2 linked regions of the Arabidopsis thaliana genome follow. The protein of the gene in region 1 interacts with the protein of each later gene in a pairwise test. Each region holds a gene or a part of one and is shown in the gene's direction. Other genes may lie near its edges.

Region 1 (8,994 bases):
GTATTTTGTTAAAACAAATTACAATGACAAAAGAAAATTCACAAAAACGTACTTTTACTCAGTTTATTCTAACATATCACGATATTTTTTCGATTCCATTATTTCTGTTTGCCATATCGTTCCAGCAACTTTGAGCATACAAAATTTAAATGCTAGAAACAATTGAAATTTATCTCATACTATTTTAGAGTTTCCAACCCAACCTAATTAAAGACTATTAATCTTGAAAAGTAAACTAACTTATAACGATACATATATACACCAAACGAACAATTTACGAAGTCGAAGTATGTTGCATCTTTCTCAGTAGTCAGTACTCTACTTGTTGTGCAAAGGATTTGGACCTGTGGGGATAGATCGTTTCTCTTCTTCTTCCTCGTCGCCGTCCGTCTTTCTCCGAAATCTAGACGATCTTCGTCTAACTTTATTAAAATTTGACATCTCCGTGATCACAACCTTGTGATGATTCTTGTAGTATAGTGATCGAGCAACGCTCAAATTACGATTTCTTCCTGTAGTCATGAATCTTCCAGCTTGGATCGAACTTGAACGGGAGATAATGATTAATACTAACACTGTAAAGATTACAATGATTAAAACATCTCGTTTCATTGCATATCGTGAAGATAAAATTAACATAGATATCGAAAAAAGTATGTTTGAATCTCTCTCTCAAATCACGATTACTTTCTTCTTCTTCTTCTTCTCTCTGCTCTTATCGTAAGAGTTGAGGGAATTTTAGTAAAAGTAAGGAGGAGCAAAGGGGAATAAGGAGAGAAGAAATAGAATGGTCAGCAGCATTCATTACATTGATATGACTACACAATTATCATAATTGATAATTTCGTACAATAATAACAAATATTTTCGTATTATTAACTAGCAGATTATATACTACAATTTTTTTACTGATAACATTACAAATTGAAAGAATTGTTGAAAATAAGATGAAATCTTTGATAAATAGTAAGCAAAACTTCACTTATCACTATATTATATAATTTGTTATTATAAGTTTGCGAAATGATGATATAATTGAATAGTCTTGACTCTTGAGTTTACATATGTATAGTGAACATAGACAAAATTAAGTGAAATATATATAAACTAGATTTTAACCCGCGGTATACTGCGGTATAATTTATTTTTTAAAGTTAATATATATTAAAACTTGCAAATTTTATTTTTATAAAATATTTATATTTTACAGTTTATAATTGTTATTAAGTAACGCTATACAACGAATCCATGAGACAATTGTTAAAAAACTGAAGTTTTAACCCTTACTAAAACAGCATATTAATAATATTTTAAAATTTTATAAATATTGATTCAAATACATCCACCATATAACTCAATTCCAAAATAAAATCCGTTCTGTAATTTCTTTACCCATCCCGTGATTTATTTTTAAAGTAGTAATTTTAAAAATTTGAAAATTATTTATTACATATAAAAGTTTTACAAATTGTATCATTCTCTAATACATTTATATTTTATAGTTTAATTTTATATATAGTAACATTATACATACCACATAACATTTTTGGTTTTATATAACCTTTTCTAAATTAGGATGATTTGATATGTTTAATATTAGTGGTCTTAAAAAATAATAATTAAATATTTAACCCGTATTGAAACAGTGGATCAATTATATTTTACTTTTTTATTAATGTTGATTCAAAAACCCGTCCCTCCAAATAGTTATTGATTTATTAACTTATTTGTTTATAATTTGGTAACAGATAGATATTTAAATATTCGGTATATTTTGCTTCAGTTTAGGAAATCTTTGATGACCCGTCTTTAGATATAATAAGCCCTATAATTAAGAAATAAATATTGTCGTTAAATGATTTTGGTAACCTTAATTACGTCATTAAAGGATTTTGTTTTTAATTAATTTTTTTTAATGGCATTGTCATGTAATTAATTATAAAAATTAAAGTTACATTTAAAATGTACTTTCCAAATAATATAGGAAGATGAAAAACAAGTCTATAAATGAGTGTATGATTTGATTATACTGATCTAAACACAGATAAATGAACTAACTCAAAAGTAAACATTTTTAAAACGAATAACAAATAACAATTAATCGTGTCGAATAAATCCCTCCAAATTGCAAAAAGAAAACCAAACAACAACAAAAAAACAAATTATATAACCGTGAGCAATCCAAGAAGAACAAGTCCAAAGACGACGAATCTTCCGAACACAAAGTTGATCCTGAAATCATCACTTCCACTAACGATCTGAACAGGGAACAAGCAACTTCCCACGGATGCATTGACCTTGGTGATCATTGCAGCTCCTTTGAAATCGCAAGCCCTAACGTCTTGGTCTTGTATCTGGAAATACATGTTAAATGCGTATGATATGTTTTGGACTTTGGTTAGCTTACTACAAGTTGACCCGGCTTCCATCGCGGTGCAGTCCCCGTGGTAACACGCATAGTCTAGATCAGGACCAACTTCGTCTAGATTGACCGTGTCTTTGTTCACTACGCACCATTGTTTTTCCAAGTACTGCACACCTTTAGCTGCAACGGGCACCATTTGGCGTCCTTGTCCCGTGAAATCTAGCATAAACTTTGGTGTCCCATCGTATCTAAAGATTCCCCAATGTCTCTCAAAAGGCCCTGGAAGAATACTCTTCATGTCTTCGTCGAGGAAACCGAAGAGATAGACCTCTAATCTTTCAGGCCTCGTTGGAGTCCCACCGTCCTTAGCAAGTCTTTTCATAAGCCCTGCATAGAATTTCTCCGCTAGCTTCGGCGATGCATATTTGTGACCATCCGTTGGCCATCCAACCTAAAGAAAAACATAAACCAAACTCAATAACATTCTTGATAAATATATCTAATTAATAACTTGCTTGTCACGTTACCTCTCCAACGATAATCTTCATATCGTGAATCCCAGCCTTCTTCAACGCGTAAACAAGTGTGTCGTAATTGGCGTCAAACACGTTATCATAATTCTTTCCTTTGTCAGTCATTGTCTGACCATCACCGTCAAGAAAAGCGAACTCAACGGGAAAATGCTCGTTTAGGTAAAGACTAAGGAAAGGGTAAATGTTGACGGTGAAAGGTAAGTCGTTTTCGTGGAAGAAATTGACGATATCAAGCATCGTTTGTTTGACATCCTTGCGGAAATCACCTTCTGATGGCTTGTCGTTGGCTGATTGGTAAACTTCTGCGTTTTGTGGGATCGTGGCTTTCATTATATTGGTGTGTCCAGCTTCTTTTAACGCCTTGTGAATGTTCTTTAACGCTGGAAATGTTGTCTTCAAGAACGATCCGTTGTATGCAGACAAAAACGGCTCGTTCCCCACGGCTACGTACCTAGTGAATGAATTCTCGGTCAAATATACACCCAAAACAGCGACTTTTACCGGTTTGTAGGTATTTAGATGAATATAATGTCAAATTTATTATTATTATTAAATTTTAACAAGAAACTAAGAATATTAAAAATTAACAGGAAAAAAATTGTCTGAATAAATGAAATCATCTCATTGGTGCGATTTTGTTCAAATTGGAAATAAATAGCCAACCAAAATCGATCTATTTATCAAATCGGTTTATCATGTAGTCGATCAGATAGAATTATGGTAAAAACATGATTACAAAAAAATGAAAAAGTTTTGAAGGTTACTTGATGTCGACGCCACCCTTACGAATATACTGGGTCACGTTTTCTTTAACCCAATCTTTAGCATTATCGTAATCATCTGCGAGAGACTCAAGAAGGTTATTAGGGATTCCAACCATAACCTCCATGCCCGTACCAGCCAAAGCATTCATCGTCCATGAATCAGCGTCAAAAAGCTTCACTTTATTGATCTTATTGTCCTTAAGCATCTGAACAACAATGTTGGGATTCAACGGATGTGATGCGATATTGCCCCAATTCACACCGAAGCCTCCGACCAAACTAGCCAGGGTCAAAACGGTCATTATAACCGTCCCGACGTTAACGAGCATCGCTGCTCTTCCGGCCATATATATTGAGAAGGCGACGATGGATGATAATTAGGGTTTGTTTGATCTCGAAGATGTGTTTTTGTTTTCTTTTCTTTTGTCTGGTTGATGTTTTTTCTTCTTCCAGTCGGTAAAATTCTTTTTCGTGTCTTGGGTGGTCGTTGTAATAGGAATGTTTTTAGGTTGTTAGTGAAAGATTAATTAAGCTTAAAATAAATTTCTATTTTTAGAAAGAATTACAAGCTACAAAGAGGTGTGTATTTTTTTCGGAATCAGTTAGTTTTTTTTTTTTTGGTTAAGAGAGTATATCGCTGTTAATAATTGGTCGAATTGCTTATTAAACGAATACATCCTTGAAACAATGAGATAGCAGTTTATTAATATTAATTTTTGGTATATAAATCAGTCTGAACTCAAAATATGTGATTAGCTACTATTTTCATTGAAGATCCACAAATTATTAACGGTTTGGTTCTACACATAAAAAAAAAAATTCGTGGACCAAAGAAAAAAAAAACAGTCCAAAGCTTCAAAATTTTTGTCTGCAAAGCCAATAGTGGGGCCCAGGTTTTTAGATATATGGGACCCTTAAAAGTAGCATGAAAGCCACGTGGCAGAATCTCTACAGAGTAAATGCCACAAGTCTTTCTTCTTCTTCTTCTTCCCTTCACCAATAAGGCAATAATCCTTCTTCTTCTTTCTAAAATCCCTAAATTACAAATTGTTAAGAACTTGGACAATTCTATTTCTAGGGTTTGTGAGATTCGTTCGGACTCTAATGGGGAAGAAACGAAAATCCGAGGCTACGCGGCTCGATGAGGTTGATCGAACCATGTATGGCGCGTTTCGAGGCGCTGCTAATTCGCTCTCGCAGCTCTATACACATGCCATGAATCACCAACGCGTTTCTTTCCTCGCCGGTGAACGTCGCGGAATGGTCTCTGCTCTCTCTCTCTTGACCTTGTTTTATATCCAGTTTCGATTTTTGGCTTCTGGGTTCGATAGATAGAAACATAGTTGAAAAGTTTTCTTCTCGTTGCTTGTTTTGATGTTGGTTGACTATCTTGAATCGTAAATTGAGTGCTTATGTGTTGTTGGGTTTCTGTTTGCTCTCGAGATTTTAGAGTCACAGAATGAATCATGGATATTCAATGTTGTTTCTTATGTGTTGTTTTGGTAAAGTTGATCTCTTTGGCTTGTTTATGTTCGATTGATTGTCGTACGTGAGTTAATTGGAGACACACTCTGAAATTGGTTATGATCTATGAAGCTAGTTTAGATATGAGGCTAAGCAAGCAGTCTTACTGATAAAAGTTGTGGCCTTTTGATCTTGAAGTGCTTACTTTTGTTTTTTACTAGATTGATGAACTAGGATGGCTGTTCTCTTTTGGTGGCAGCTTGACGTTCTTGGCGTCATTCAATAGTGATTCATGACATTGTAGTATGAGATTTGAGGTTTGATTGGTCCATTGAGTTTTACTTTTTTCTTTCTTTTTACAGGAGAAGCTTTACCAATGGATTGTGAGACAAGAAGAACAAGGAACTAGAGTATCCACAGCTGATATTACTACCTACTTACAGGTACTTTCCTTTGAAAACAGTATCTCGTTTCTGATTACGCTCCTGCTATGTAATTGGAATTCAGATTGATTATACCTCTCTTGACTAGCTACGCATTAAAGTCCCAACGATCTTTAGTTTGATCTGAAAGTTATTCGTGTTTACCTTTTAAAACCATATATGCAGAATGCGCTTGAATATGAACCTGAGGAGACGTCGATACCACTCCCCATGCAAGAGTTTTATCAGCACCAATTCGCTCCACCAAACGTAAATACATCAGTAGCTCATGTTCCTTCAAGTCACATAGCACAACAACAACATTATGATTGTAACCAAGAGAAACTCTTGATTCCACCAAATGGTCTCTCAAGTCCGGTTCGAAGAACCCTTCAGGACTTCAACTTGTGTGAGGCTGAGTCTGGTAATAATAACTACAATCCCAACTCTACAGGTGAACACTTATCTTACTGAATAAAATCTTGTTTCATTTGCCGAAAGATGAAAAACATAAATCATTCCATTGTAAAGTCTCAATTGTTTGTGGTAAAGTATTGTCTCATGTAATACACAAAACACTTTTTCCTAATCTTTCAAAGAAGCTGGATGAATGTGAATTGACCCTTAAGATAGACAAATCTCTGATAGTGATTTTGTCGATAGGCGATATGATGATTTCATGTCTTGTCTAAAGCTCTCAAGACTTAAATGTAGACTTGTTAACAGTGATGAAAGAGAGACAAAGACTAATGATCAAAATTGAAGCCAAAACCTTCCATGTGCTCTCATGGTCCCTCTTTCAATTCAACTTGTCTGCAAAAACATTGCCCTGATGTTGATCTTCGCCGAGCTACGTGGTTTATGCTAATCCTCAGAAGAAACTTCTCGTTCAAAAATCTATGGACAGATAAAAACAAAAGTTACAGAATCACACTTTCTTCTTCTTTTGGTCATGGTGTTATCTGTACTAACAAGACATTCATCAAGGTGGTTGTCTGGAGATTGTCACTACATCTTGGCACAATGACATTTTGGCTGATTTCTATCTAGATTTTTTCCAAATTTTGTGTCTTTTTTTATTTGCCACGGTGTTTTCAAACGTAAAAGTCTAATCAACTCATCTAGCTAATCATATAAACTAGAGCTATAATAAAATTTGAAAGTGTTCGAAACAACTTGTCACTAAGAATTTATAAATAATTAGGTCCACACATAATTATTTCAGGAGTCAGGTCATAGGTCCATATACATTTCAATGGGGTATCAAAACGGTCATAATAAAATAAAGTTCAAACTTTTTAGTCCATAAATCTTATCGATCAAATCGGATCACAATACTATTTATTGACTAGAATTGTCAATTTTGTTAAAATATAACGCCGTATATGAATTTAGAGCATAGACTTTGGACTTGGATGTATACTGTTTTGTCAATTTTTTAAAAATTTCTTAAATTTGCCTCATATATATAATAATTTGGATGTAGCAAATAAATTTTAACGAGTGAAATATAAAATTGTGAACCATATTTCATTCACGTGGAATAGTAATATCAATAAAAAAAATAGTTAATTTTGGATGATTGATTTTAAATAAATGGAAAAAGAAAGTAGACCAACTCTTGTCGGAAATTATAGGTGAAGAAATTGAGTTATAGTAATGAATGGCTAATTGGGAAACACATGACACAACAAACTTTACGTCCTTTTTGCCATATTTAAGCACTCTCTATAACAATGTCCCCGACCCCTACTCCAATAATCTACTTCCCCTATTCTACTATTGTGGTCCAGTTTATACCATTATTTATAATCCAAATTTTAGTTTATGATCAAACTTTCACGTTATCAACGAGAATCGCATTCATGATTTGGCTAAGTAAGATTTTCTAAGCCTAATATTTGTATTCAAATCCTGTAAAGCTGAGATATCCTCTCTTACAATAAGTCATGAACGCACAACCCCAATAATGAATGAAGAGTACTCATGAATGAAAATGGTTCCAAAAACATGACACAACAAACTTGACGATATCATCTCTTACAAGTCTCGATACGAAGTTAGTAATATATCTCTTCGTCCACAATTGACTACATAAATATTTTTATGTATGTAGAACAATATTGAATGTAAACTAGGTTATTAATTACGAATCCATTATTTGACTTGCGTATTAATCATTTGTTTTCAATGTTCTGATAAATCATATTCCTTTGAAGGACCACAACTCCATCTCCATGATCAAAGGACCACTCGATTTTCAATAATCTCCTTGAGTTTTATCCCACTAGTCTATATGAGATAGACAACATTATAGTGAATATGGTTATAGAATCTGGATGGTTTATATCAATTTAGACATCATGTAGAAGTACATCTAAACTGTTGGTTTAAGGTCGGCTGGTAGTGTGCACCCATGATTTGGCAACATCTAAACTGGTTTGGTTAATAGATCATGGCAAGTTATTACTCCCCTAACCTCATTTCCTCTTCCTGTAATATATATTGATCTTGTATTTAAAAACATAGAAAGAAGTTAGATTTTGACAGTTTGAAAACTGAGGAAAGTGTTGAGAAAGAGAAGAAAAACGTTTTTCAAGAGATAGTTTCAAGAAATCAACTACAAACAGGCATTTATCAAAGGTGACAAGTCATTGATCTTCGTTCGTGATTTCATCCGACCTTTTGATTACCAAAGTTCCTGAATTTTTTTATTACTAAACTGGGTTAAGGTATGTGTTTCGGTTTAAATTTCTTACATATACAAATGTGAAATTAAGTTTGTAACCGAAATTCTGTTTCTCATTCAAAAGACGTGATTGCATAAATTATCATCATTTATTTGCTTTGCAAACAAGAAATATTAATTTTGTGGGGATAGATTCATGTTAATGTGGGAAGACAGAGAAATATCGACGTCAAATCCTTAGACCCATATGTCTCAATAACTTCCAAAACGTTATTCAATTCCGATATAAAATTGGGACCATAAACTGATCATAGAATCATTCATCTCTATATATAAACACAAAAAGGTTCAACAAAAGATAATTCTATATAACCAAAGAAAAAAAACTCTCTTCCAAAAATGGCAATTAGGGTTTCCCACAAGTCTTTCCTCGTCGCACTTCTTCTCATACTCTTCATTTCCTCTCCTACTCAAGGTAAATTTATAGCTAATATATATATACACACAAGCGCGCTCACCTCACGAGTTTCTAGCTATATCAAGTATAATTTGAATGAATCTTCTTCTTGTTTTTTGGTTGAATATCAAAATATATTACCCAATAATGAGTTCTTGATATATAAACATTTTGATTTTTTAGCACGAAGCTTACGAGAAGTAGTAAGGAATAGAACGCTATTGGTTGTGGAGAAGAGTCAAGAGAGTCGGAAAATAAGGCACGAAGGTGGAGGAAGTGATGTTGATGGATTGATGGATA
Region 2 (8,330 bases), on another chromosome or scaffold:
AAAAACCACTAAGCTTTTCTTGCATATCTGTCAAATGTTGCGTCGTATTTGTCGTATTGTTGTTGTGATTCTCACTTTTTCACATCATTAAAATAAGTTGAATTAGATTCTTTAACATGTTCCCATCACGTGGCCAGTTTAAAAGCTACAACAGTAATTCTCTTTACTTTGCATAATGTACATTAATTTCGGATATTGAAGAAAAGCATGAGAAATAACGATATTACAAGACCTAGCCCAAGTTGCGTATTACATAATTATGCCCATAAGCTCTACTAGATAACAAATGAAATAGTTTTGAAACCAATTGATCAGATAAGCCCATACAAGGCCCATTATTTAGATGACAATTGTAATTGTAGCTTAACCAGAGCGGCTAAGTTACAAACCAAATAAAAAGGGGAATGGATAATGTTAAACCCTACACCGATCCAATGTCGGAAGAAGAACAAAACCCTGATCCAATGTCGGAAGAAAGAGAACAAAACCCGAATCCGATGATCTACCTATGTCCCGATCTAGTGGAAGAAATCGTCCTTGGATTGCCGTTGAATTCAATCCTCAGATTCAAAACGGTCTCAAAACAATGGAGATCAATCCTTGGATTGTGAGATTTTTGATGTCAATATTGGTGAATGGCGGAGATCGAGGAGCCCCCCTCCTTATTGGGTGGATCCCAGAAGGAAGTCTGCGTGTGTTCAGGGCTCCATCTACTGGTTAAATGTCAAACCTTTCCAGGTACTAGCTTTGGATCTTCACACACAAGAGTTCCATAATGTTCGCTCAAGACCAACTCACGCAACTTATGCCGACCAACTTGTCAACCTTGATGACCGTCTAGCCATAGCCTAATCGTTTTTGCATCCTCCTTGGATACTATGGATATGGACCATGGATGTTCTAAAAGATGATGGATGGACCAAGGCTTACTCCATAGATTTATCCTCCTGTAGAGATCTTACCGTGGAAAGTGCATTTTAGGCCGGTGGCGGTTTCTAAGCATGGAAATGTTTACTTGCATGACAATGAAAAGAGGTTGTTGAAATACTATCCAAAGACCAACCTCCTTCGTTGCATCTCTAAAGACACTTGGGTCATATCCCCTATGGTTGAGAATGTGCTTCCACTTCGGCCTCTAGGCTCTATTCCCAAGACATTCGGCTACGGATCCATATCTCAGGAGCTTAACCACATGCCGGGATCGAGGATGTCCAAATTTCTTAGCAGAATCCCAACTATACTGTTTACAACCACTCTAGTGTCTCAAGTTGTTTACCGCTATTTGTCTTGATGTTGACTTTATACTCGCTGAATGTTGTTATGTCTGTCAGTATATTAAGTATGAACTTGTTTGATCTTTGAAACATTTATCTTCACTCTTGCTTGTGACTTCTACATTTTCATTTTAATGGTGTTTTTAAACCTGACTGAATCGGAAAGAGCATCAGATTGAATTATACAACTTCCAAAATATAAAAGATAAACCAGTGAAGAAAAGAGTTTATTAATGATTTCCTAAAGATTAAATATTCTACATCTTACAATTTACAATCATAAACCGGATTGATTTCATTCCAAGAGAACGTAACCATTCGGATCATGGACTATCATTCTACTTCTACTAGTCGTACGTTCTATGTTCTGAGGAACTTTTTTGCAGACCTGAGCATGAGACTCAGCTTCTTGTTGAAACTTCTTCACCATTTCGTCAAGCTCTAGTTTCCTAGTCTCCACATTCTCTTCTGCCACTGGCTCCTTGAGTCCAAGGTAGATTAAACCAGCGACCACTAGCACCAAACCTGAGACGAACAGAACGACTGAGAAAAGCGCAAAGGCTTGTGGAAAATCTTTGGCACCTGGTATCCCATCTACGTTGATTCCAAATAGACCGGTCACTATTGTAATCAAAAGACCGACTCCTCCAAAGATTCCTAGGTTATGTGTGACCGTGAGGCTCTGGTCCTAATCAAGCCAAATAAAAAATTAAGATGACTTGGAGAGTTATGTACTTATGTCATCATCTCCGAATATGAAAAATCTAACCTGTAACCATGCTCGAACCGTGTTTTGCATGACATCTTGGATAGTGAATAACCGACCTCGCACGGCCTCTTGTTCATTGATCATATCGCGGGTGCTCTTTTTTATTCCTTCTAGCAAGTCTTTTGTTCTATTGCCTTTTAGTTGCTGAAGAAGCTCGAACACAATCTCTTCTCTAGCATGAAGCGACCATTTCACCCGTATAACCTAATAAATAATGAACAACAAGTCACTTGTATGAATAACATTAATCCAGATTAGCTGATCTCATCTTGTAGTCAATCAAGAAAGCCTTACCTGGGTCGACAGCCTTCTGATCTCTTGATTCAAGATTGTAGTGAACAGATTTGGGTCCTCGTACAGTCTCCTGGATATCAACAAAAATAAGTTATTCTGCTCCATCAGACATATGTCAAGGAAAGAAAATACTAAAGTAAGAGAAGGCTCAGTTAAAGTACTTATTCATAAACATCAACTCAACTTCATCAGCTGCACCAAATATATACTTCCGGAATAGCCTACATTAAGGATATTGATATCATCAATCATCACAAGGTCAAATCCAGAGAATGAAAAAGAATCAAAAGGTTCTCTCAACATTTGACTCCCATCTTTCAAACTCTAAGAATAAGATAAGACAAATAGGTTCTATCAAAGCAATACAAAGGTTTAACAATTTCATTGGCTACACCGTATAGACCATGTAAATGTGTATCCACTGCTAAAGACTTTCATAATGAATACTAAACTTCCCCAATATATACAACTTTTTTCACAACTTAATCTAGATTCAAGGGAAGGGAAATACCTATCATCCCAGCGTGCAAGGCGGCATGCAAGATGTGCTATTAGTTCATGAACGGTTCTCGGAATGCAGGCTCCACCAGCAATAAGCATTTCCTGGTAAGACAGAAGGAACCCCAGAAGACTGAAAACCAGTTTTGACTAATTGATCAACGAGTAAAGGAAAACAATGATTCAAATAAGAAGAACAAACCTGGACTTCAGTAATACCTAAGACACTAATGTTCAAGGCAAAGCCTTTAACGTGCAATGCAGTCACCAGAAAATTCTGTGCTTGCCAAGACCTTAAGACAATAGGTATGTCATCTTCTTGGATGAAAGGATCACCCGCTGATTGTCCCAACAGCTCAAACAGCAACCCACCAGCAACTCTGACAGGCACCTATCCACCAACATATTAACAAATTTCAGCTATAGAATCATAGCACAGCTCACATTACAAAGAAGCAACATAACTCAGATTTTTGTTACCTCATAGAAAATATGTTTCATTCGTTCACTAATCAGTTTGCTTTCGTCCCGCAGAGCAAGACTGACCGCGGGATGTAACCAATGCGCATTACGTAACCACGAGGCAATACCATGATGGGTAGCATCAAGATGACACCACCAAGTTGGACCAGCAAGTGGTCGTTCCCAGTAAGGAGCAGCAAGCTCAGCAACAGTGGCTTCATCCTCATCTAAGTCAATCTTTCGCAAATCCCAATTATTATCAACTTGAACAGTCTGAACAAGCTCAGAGATCCTATCCCATCCAATTCCTCGCCAATAACTCCTAGAATGTTCTTCGTCTTCACCAGTACCAAATTGATCTGTTTCACATTCCTGTTTCTTTCTATCACAACAACAACAACACTGTTTAAAAAAACACTCTACAAGAAAAAGAAAAAAAGAGACTAAGCACTAATATGTATCAACAAGTTAGTAACAATCATCATACATTCTGAGAGACGAATCTCCATGGACACTTGTGTTATTCTTACGACGACCTTGACAAAACTCGAAAGCACAGATAAGTCCATTGGTCCAGAGATTATGGTAACCTGGATTCCCGTTCTTGTGATTCGCATTCATGCTTCACTTTAAATCACAGATTTTCGATTCATATCAGTCAAATCTCGTTTTCTGAGTAAAAAAAACAATCTCGAAATTTTAGGCTGCAATTTCACGTAAGATCATCAGGAAGCACGGAATTCGAAAGAAAACTAAGCCAAAGGAGTCAAACGCAACAACCTTCCCCAGAACTTCCCTGAATTTTCTGCACCGATTCGAAGAAAGAAAACAACAATTTGACTGAGAGAGAGAGATGAATGTGGCACAGGTCGAGGACGACAAGTCAAGGCTAAGAACCAACCACACGTGTACATTTACATATTTTGGGCCTTATTGGACCTTCTCTGTAGGACCAATTTAAAAGCCCAATAAGAGTCGAGTATGGAAGGCGATAAAATACAGAGCAGTGGACGACTCTCATTTTTTGTTGTTTCTCAACTCTCGATCAGTATTTGATTTTAGTTTTGGTCCCAAAAAGGGTATAAATTTGGTTGTAAATAGCTACAAGATGTTTAAGCATTATTATGAATCTCTCTGTTAAAGAAGACAATTGTCATGAATCAAATACTTAATCATCTGTTGAGAAGTAGGCTGCCAGAAACTTTTCTTTTTTTTCTTTTTTTGCAAAATAAATTTGTTAACTATTAATCACAATTTTTGGTGACAACTTAACCATCTCCTACTCCTCACAATCATTCTTTTGGTGTCTCTACCATTTAATAATTCACCAAAATCTCCTTACTTAAACTCACAAACTCCTCACAAATTTTCTGAATCTTTCAGTTGAACATATAACAACATTCATAACAATGGCTGGAGGTACAGCTCTAACTCCAACCTCTGTAGGATCCAAGTCTGTTCCAATGAGGAACCATGAAGCAACAGAGAGAGGCAACACCAACAACAACCTGAGAGCATTACCCAAAGCCGTCCAACCGGTTTCATCAATCGAAGGAGAGATGGCTAAGAGGCCACGTGGCAGACCCGCTGGCTCCAAGAACAAACCCAAACCACCAATCATTGTGACTCACGACAGTCCAAATTCCCTCAGAGCTAACGCCGTTGAGATCAGCTCAGGTTGTGACATCTGTGAGACTTTATCGGATTTTGCAAGAAGGAAACAGAGAGGTCTCTGCATTCTCAGTGCCAATGGTTGTGTCACCAATGTGACATTAAGGCAACCAGCTTCATCAGGAGCAATTGTCACATTACACGGACGTTACGAGATCCTCTCATTGCTTGGATCAATCTTGCCTCCACCAGCACCACTTGGAATAACTGGTCTGACCATTTACTTAGCCGGACCTCAAGGACAGGTTGTTGGTGGAGGAGTGGTTGGTGGGCTAATCGCATCTGGTCCTGTTGTTCTCATGGCTGCATCTTTCATGAATGCTGTTTTTGATCGTCTTCCTATGGATGATGATGAAGCTGCCTCTATGCAGAACCAGCAGTACTACCAGAATGGAAGATCCCGTCCTTTAGATGACATTCATGGACTGCCTCAAAATCTGCTCACTAATGGAAACTCGGCTTCTGATATCTACTCTTGGGGGCCTGCGCAGCGTGTCATGTCGAAACCTTAATACTACTGCTCTAATCTCCACGTTTCATCATATCAAATGCCTTAATCTTATTATCTCATTTACCTTGGAATCAAAGATAAATGTGTCTGTAGGTTGAGAGAGAACCGTAAGTCTGGTTAAGAAACTGAAGCTTATCTCCCTTTGTAGTTTGTACCTGCAACAGTAAAAAGAAAAAACTGAAAAAAGCAAAAGTAAATGATTATGAATTTTAAGCACAATCCTCTAATTTAATACGAAAATATTACAATATTTTTATCCTTGATCCAAAGTGAATGTTGGCCATTAATAGCAGAACATGTGAAGAATCATACAAACTGGTGATTTCTCTTTACCTGTGTGATACCAATTGCAGTTGCACCGTTCCAGCAATTATTTAGGAAACTGAGCTAGCAACCAACTTCTGATTTTACTCCACTCTCATCCCAGTTTCAACATGTTATATAATCTGTAAATCTCTAGAGGATTTTTGAGGGTTTCACTAACAAGATACAAACTCTTGACGTTTCAGATATCTGGGGATTAAGGAAATAAACGCGGTTTCTCATGTTTATGATTGGGTACTTTCATGAGCAATGCCAAAAACATTAGTACGTCTATCACCTTAAACATCATAGCCTATTTCCCTAAATCCCTATTTCATTATCTAACTACCTTGAATTAAAATCAGTACTTCTGTGGGTAGAATAACATGTTTGGTGATGCTGAAGCTAATCGTTATGTACTTATATCTAGCCAGTGAAGACGAAAATATGTGAAAGTTTTCTCCTTGCACCTCACGGAAAACTTAGTAGATAAATCACAAACACATTAAAACTGACATCGAATGATAAACTAACCTTCAAGCACAAACTTCCAAACTTTTCTGGATTTGGATCAATAACTTGTGCTGTGCGTTTCCAAACCAACATTCTCGATGAAGTTTCTTTGAAAGATTCCGTTTAGGACGCTTTCCTGTAATGATCACACACAACAGAGGCACTATACATGGTCAGTGTAAACTGCATAGCATGTCATGGCATTAATTAGAGATAAAGACATATAATCATGCCTGTTATAAATTTCAATAGTTGGTTCAACACATGCATAGGCTTTAAATACGTCTCCAGGCAATGATATAAATACATGCAAATGTACATGATAGACAACAAATCATCATCATCAAATATAATCATCACCAGTTTCTCCATTTATTTTTCTACCAAAAAGCAAGAAATTTCTCAGAAAATGAAGACGAAGATGTTAATAACCCTCTTTGCACTAGTTTCAGTAGCAGGAACATCAGAAGCGACTGGTACACTTGCTGCACAGCAGAACACAAGCATTATACCTACATACACACTCTGGTGCATGGAAAATCCATATGCCTACTTTAGAAGAGTGATTTCGAGCCTAAAATGGGCTTGCAAAAATGGTGCTGATTGCTCACCATTGGAAAAGGGTGGCCGTTGTCAAGACCTCGACAATTACAGAAGCCAAGCTTCTTATGCATTCAATGACTATTACCAGAAGAATCCTATACCCAGAAACTGCGATTTCAATGGTGCTGCTGTGCTTACAGTTCAGGACCCAAGTAATACTAAACACTTTACATTCGAAAAAATAAAACCAACCTCTGATCAAAATTCCTAGAGTTCCATTGTGATAGTGTCTATATACGTCAGAACTGATTTTTCATAATCATCTTCAATTTGTGATTGTTGTTCTTCTTCTTATATCTGTGAACTTTGATTGCAGGCACTCCAACGTGTAAGTTTCCATCTAACAGGTGAGCATAAGATTCATTTTTTTTTTTCCATTTCGTTAACCTTCCGGAAGAAAAACACAGTAGATATAATTTATATAAATCAATTTTTCAGCACTGGTCCATACCCACTGACTTCTTCAGTAACAAGAACTGCAACTCCAAGCCTACGAAGCTTCTTTTGGGGTTTTGTATTCACATACCTGGCTTATAGTGCTGCTCAGATAGCTTGACCTAGAAGAAAACTGTAGAACAGGACAATCAAGGTGTGGTTTTACGAGAAGAAATATTTTGTATAAATAACAATATGATAAATTAGTATAATACCTAAAATGATATCTTCCGCTACATCTCCAAAACTATCAAATTGCTTATTTCTCTGCCAGATAAGTGAAACCAATCCTAGTTGTAGCATCAAACAATTCAGCGAAACCTGATTTAATTGTAGAGACATCCCAGTTTAAGATATCGAGTAAACTGTAAATCTCTGCGGATTTAGGATGCGTTCCCCCACAAGATATAAACTCATGAACTTCAAAATCCACTTCAATCGAACTGCAGCCAACTTCTTTCTCCATTTGTCTTTCCTTCATCAAAAGCCTCTGCTCAACTGCCTCTTCGAACAAGCCATAAGAAGCATAAGCATTAGACAAGAGAACATAACCACACGTTTCATCTGGATCGAGCTTCTTCAAACATTTTGCTGCTCGTTTAGCCATCTCAACATTACCGATTTTCCTGCAGGCAGAAAGCAAAGAACTCCATATAACAGTGTCTTCTTCCACCGGCATATTCTTTATCAATGCTTCTGCTTCTTCGAGGAGCCCCGCTCCACCCAGCACATTAACCATTAAAGTATAGTGTTTTATTGATGGCTCAATCATATATTTTTCTTTCATCAATCTGAAAAATTCATCAGCTCTATGTACTTCCCCGGAGTGAGCACAAGCTGTTAAAACACCAATGAAGCTGACTGAATCTGGTTCCAAGCCAGAACGCTCTAACTCCGAGAACAAATCCATGGCCCTTTCCTCGAATCCGTTATTAGCTAGACCAAGAATCATCGAATTCCAACACGATAACTGCTTCTTAGGAGCACACTCAAACAC

What was found.
Region 2: the proteins of AT5G64780 (region 1) and AT2G42940 interact in a two-hybrid assay, tested with the Arabidopsis thaliana proteins (one large-scale study listed by BioGRID).

The regions. Positions count from the first base shown.
Region 1 is NC_003076.8:25,897,728-25,906,721, reverse strand, and holds AT5G64780 (holocarboxylase synthetase), read left to right. Parts: upstream 1-4,594; 5' UTR 4,595-4,766; coding exon 4,767-4,925; intron 4,926-5,488; coding exon 5,489-5,569; intron 5,570-5,734; coding exon 5,735-6,022; 3' UTR 6,023-6,310; downstream 6,311-8,994. Other genes in the region: CLE21 (CLAVATA3/ESR-RELATED 21), read right to left, coding at 319-639; AT5G64790 (O-Glycosyl hydrolases family 17 protein), read right to left, coding at 2,163-2,816, 2,893-3,349, 3,663-4,009; RGF9 (root meristem growth factor), read left to right, coding at 8,637-8,712, 8,878-8,994.
Region 2 is NC_003071.7:17,859,647-17,867,976, reverse strand, and holds AT2G42940 (Putative AT-hook DNA-binding family protein), read left to right. Parts: upstream 1-4,520; 5' UTR 4,521-4,706; coding exon 4,707-5,480; 3' UTR 5,481-5,723; downstream 5,724-8,330. Other genes in the region: AT2G42955 (F-box/LRR protein), read left to right, coding at 405-575, 703-835, 954-1,291; AT2G42950 (Magnesium transporter CorA-like family protein), read right to left, coding at 1,570-1,962, 2,044-2,247, 2,338-2,407, 2,499-2,558, 2,849-2,940, 3,038-3,226, 3,316-3,679, 3,785-3,918; AT2G42930 (Carbohydrate-binding X8 domain superfamily protein), read left to right, coding at 6,705-7,109; AT2G42920 (Pentatricopeptide repeat (PPR-like) superfamily protein), read right to left, coding at 7,593-8,330. UniProt on the Arabidopsis thaliana protein: Transcription factor that specifically binds AT-rich DNA sequences related to the nuclear matrix attachment regions (MARs).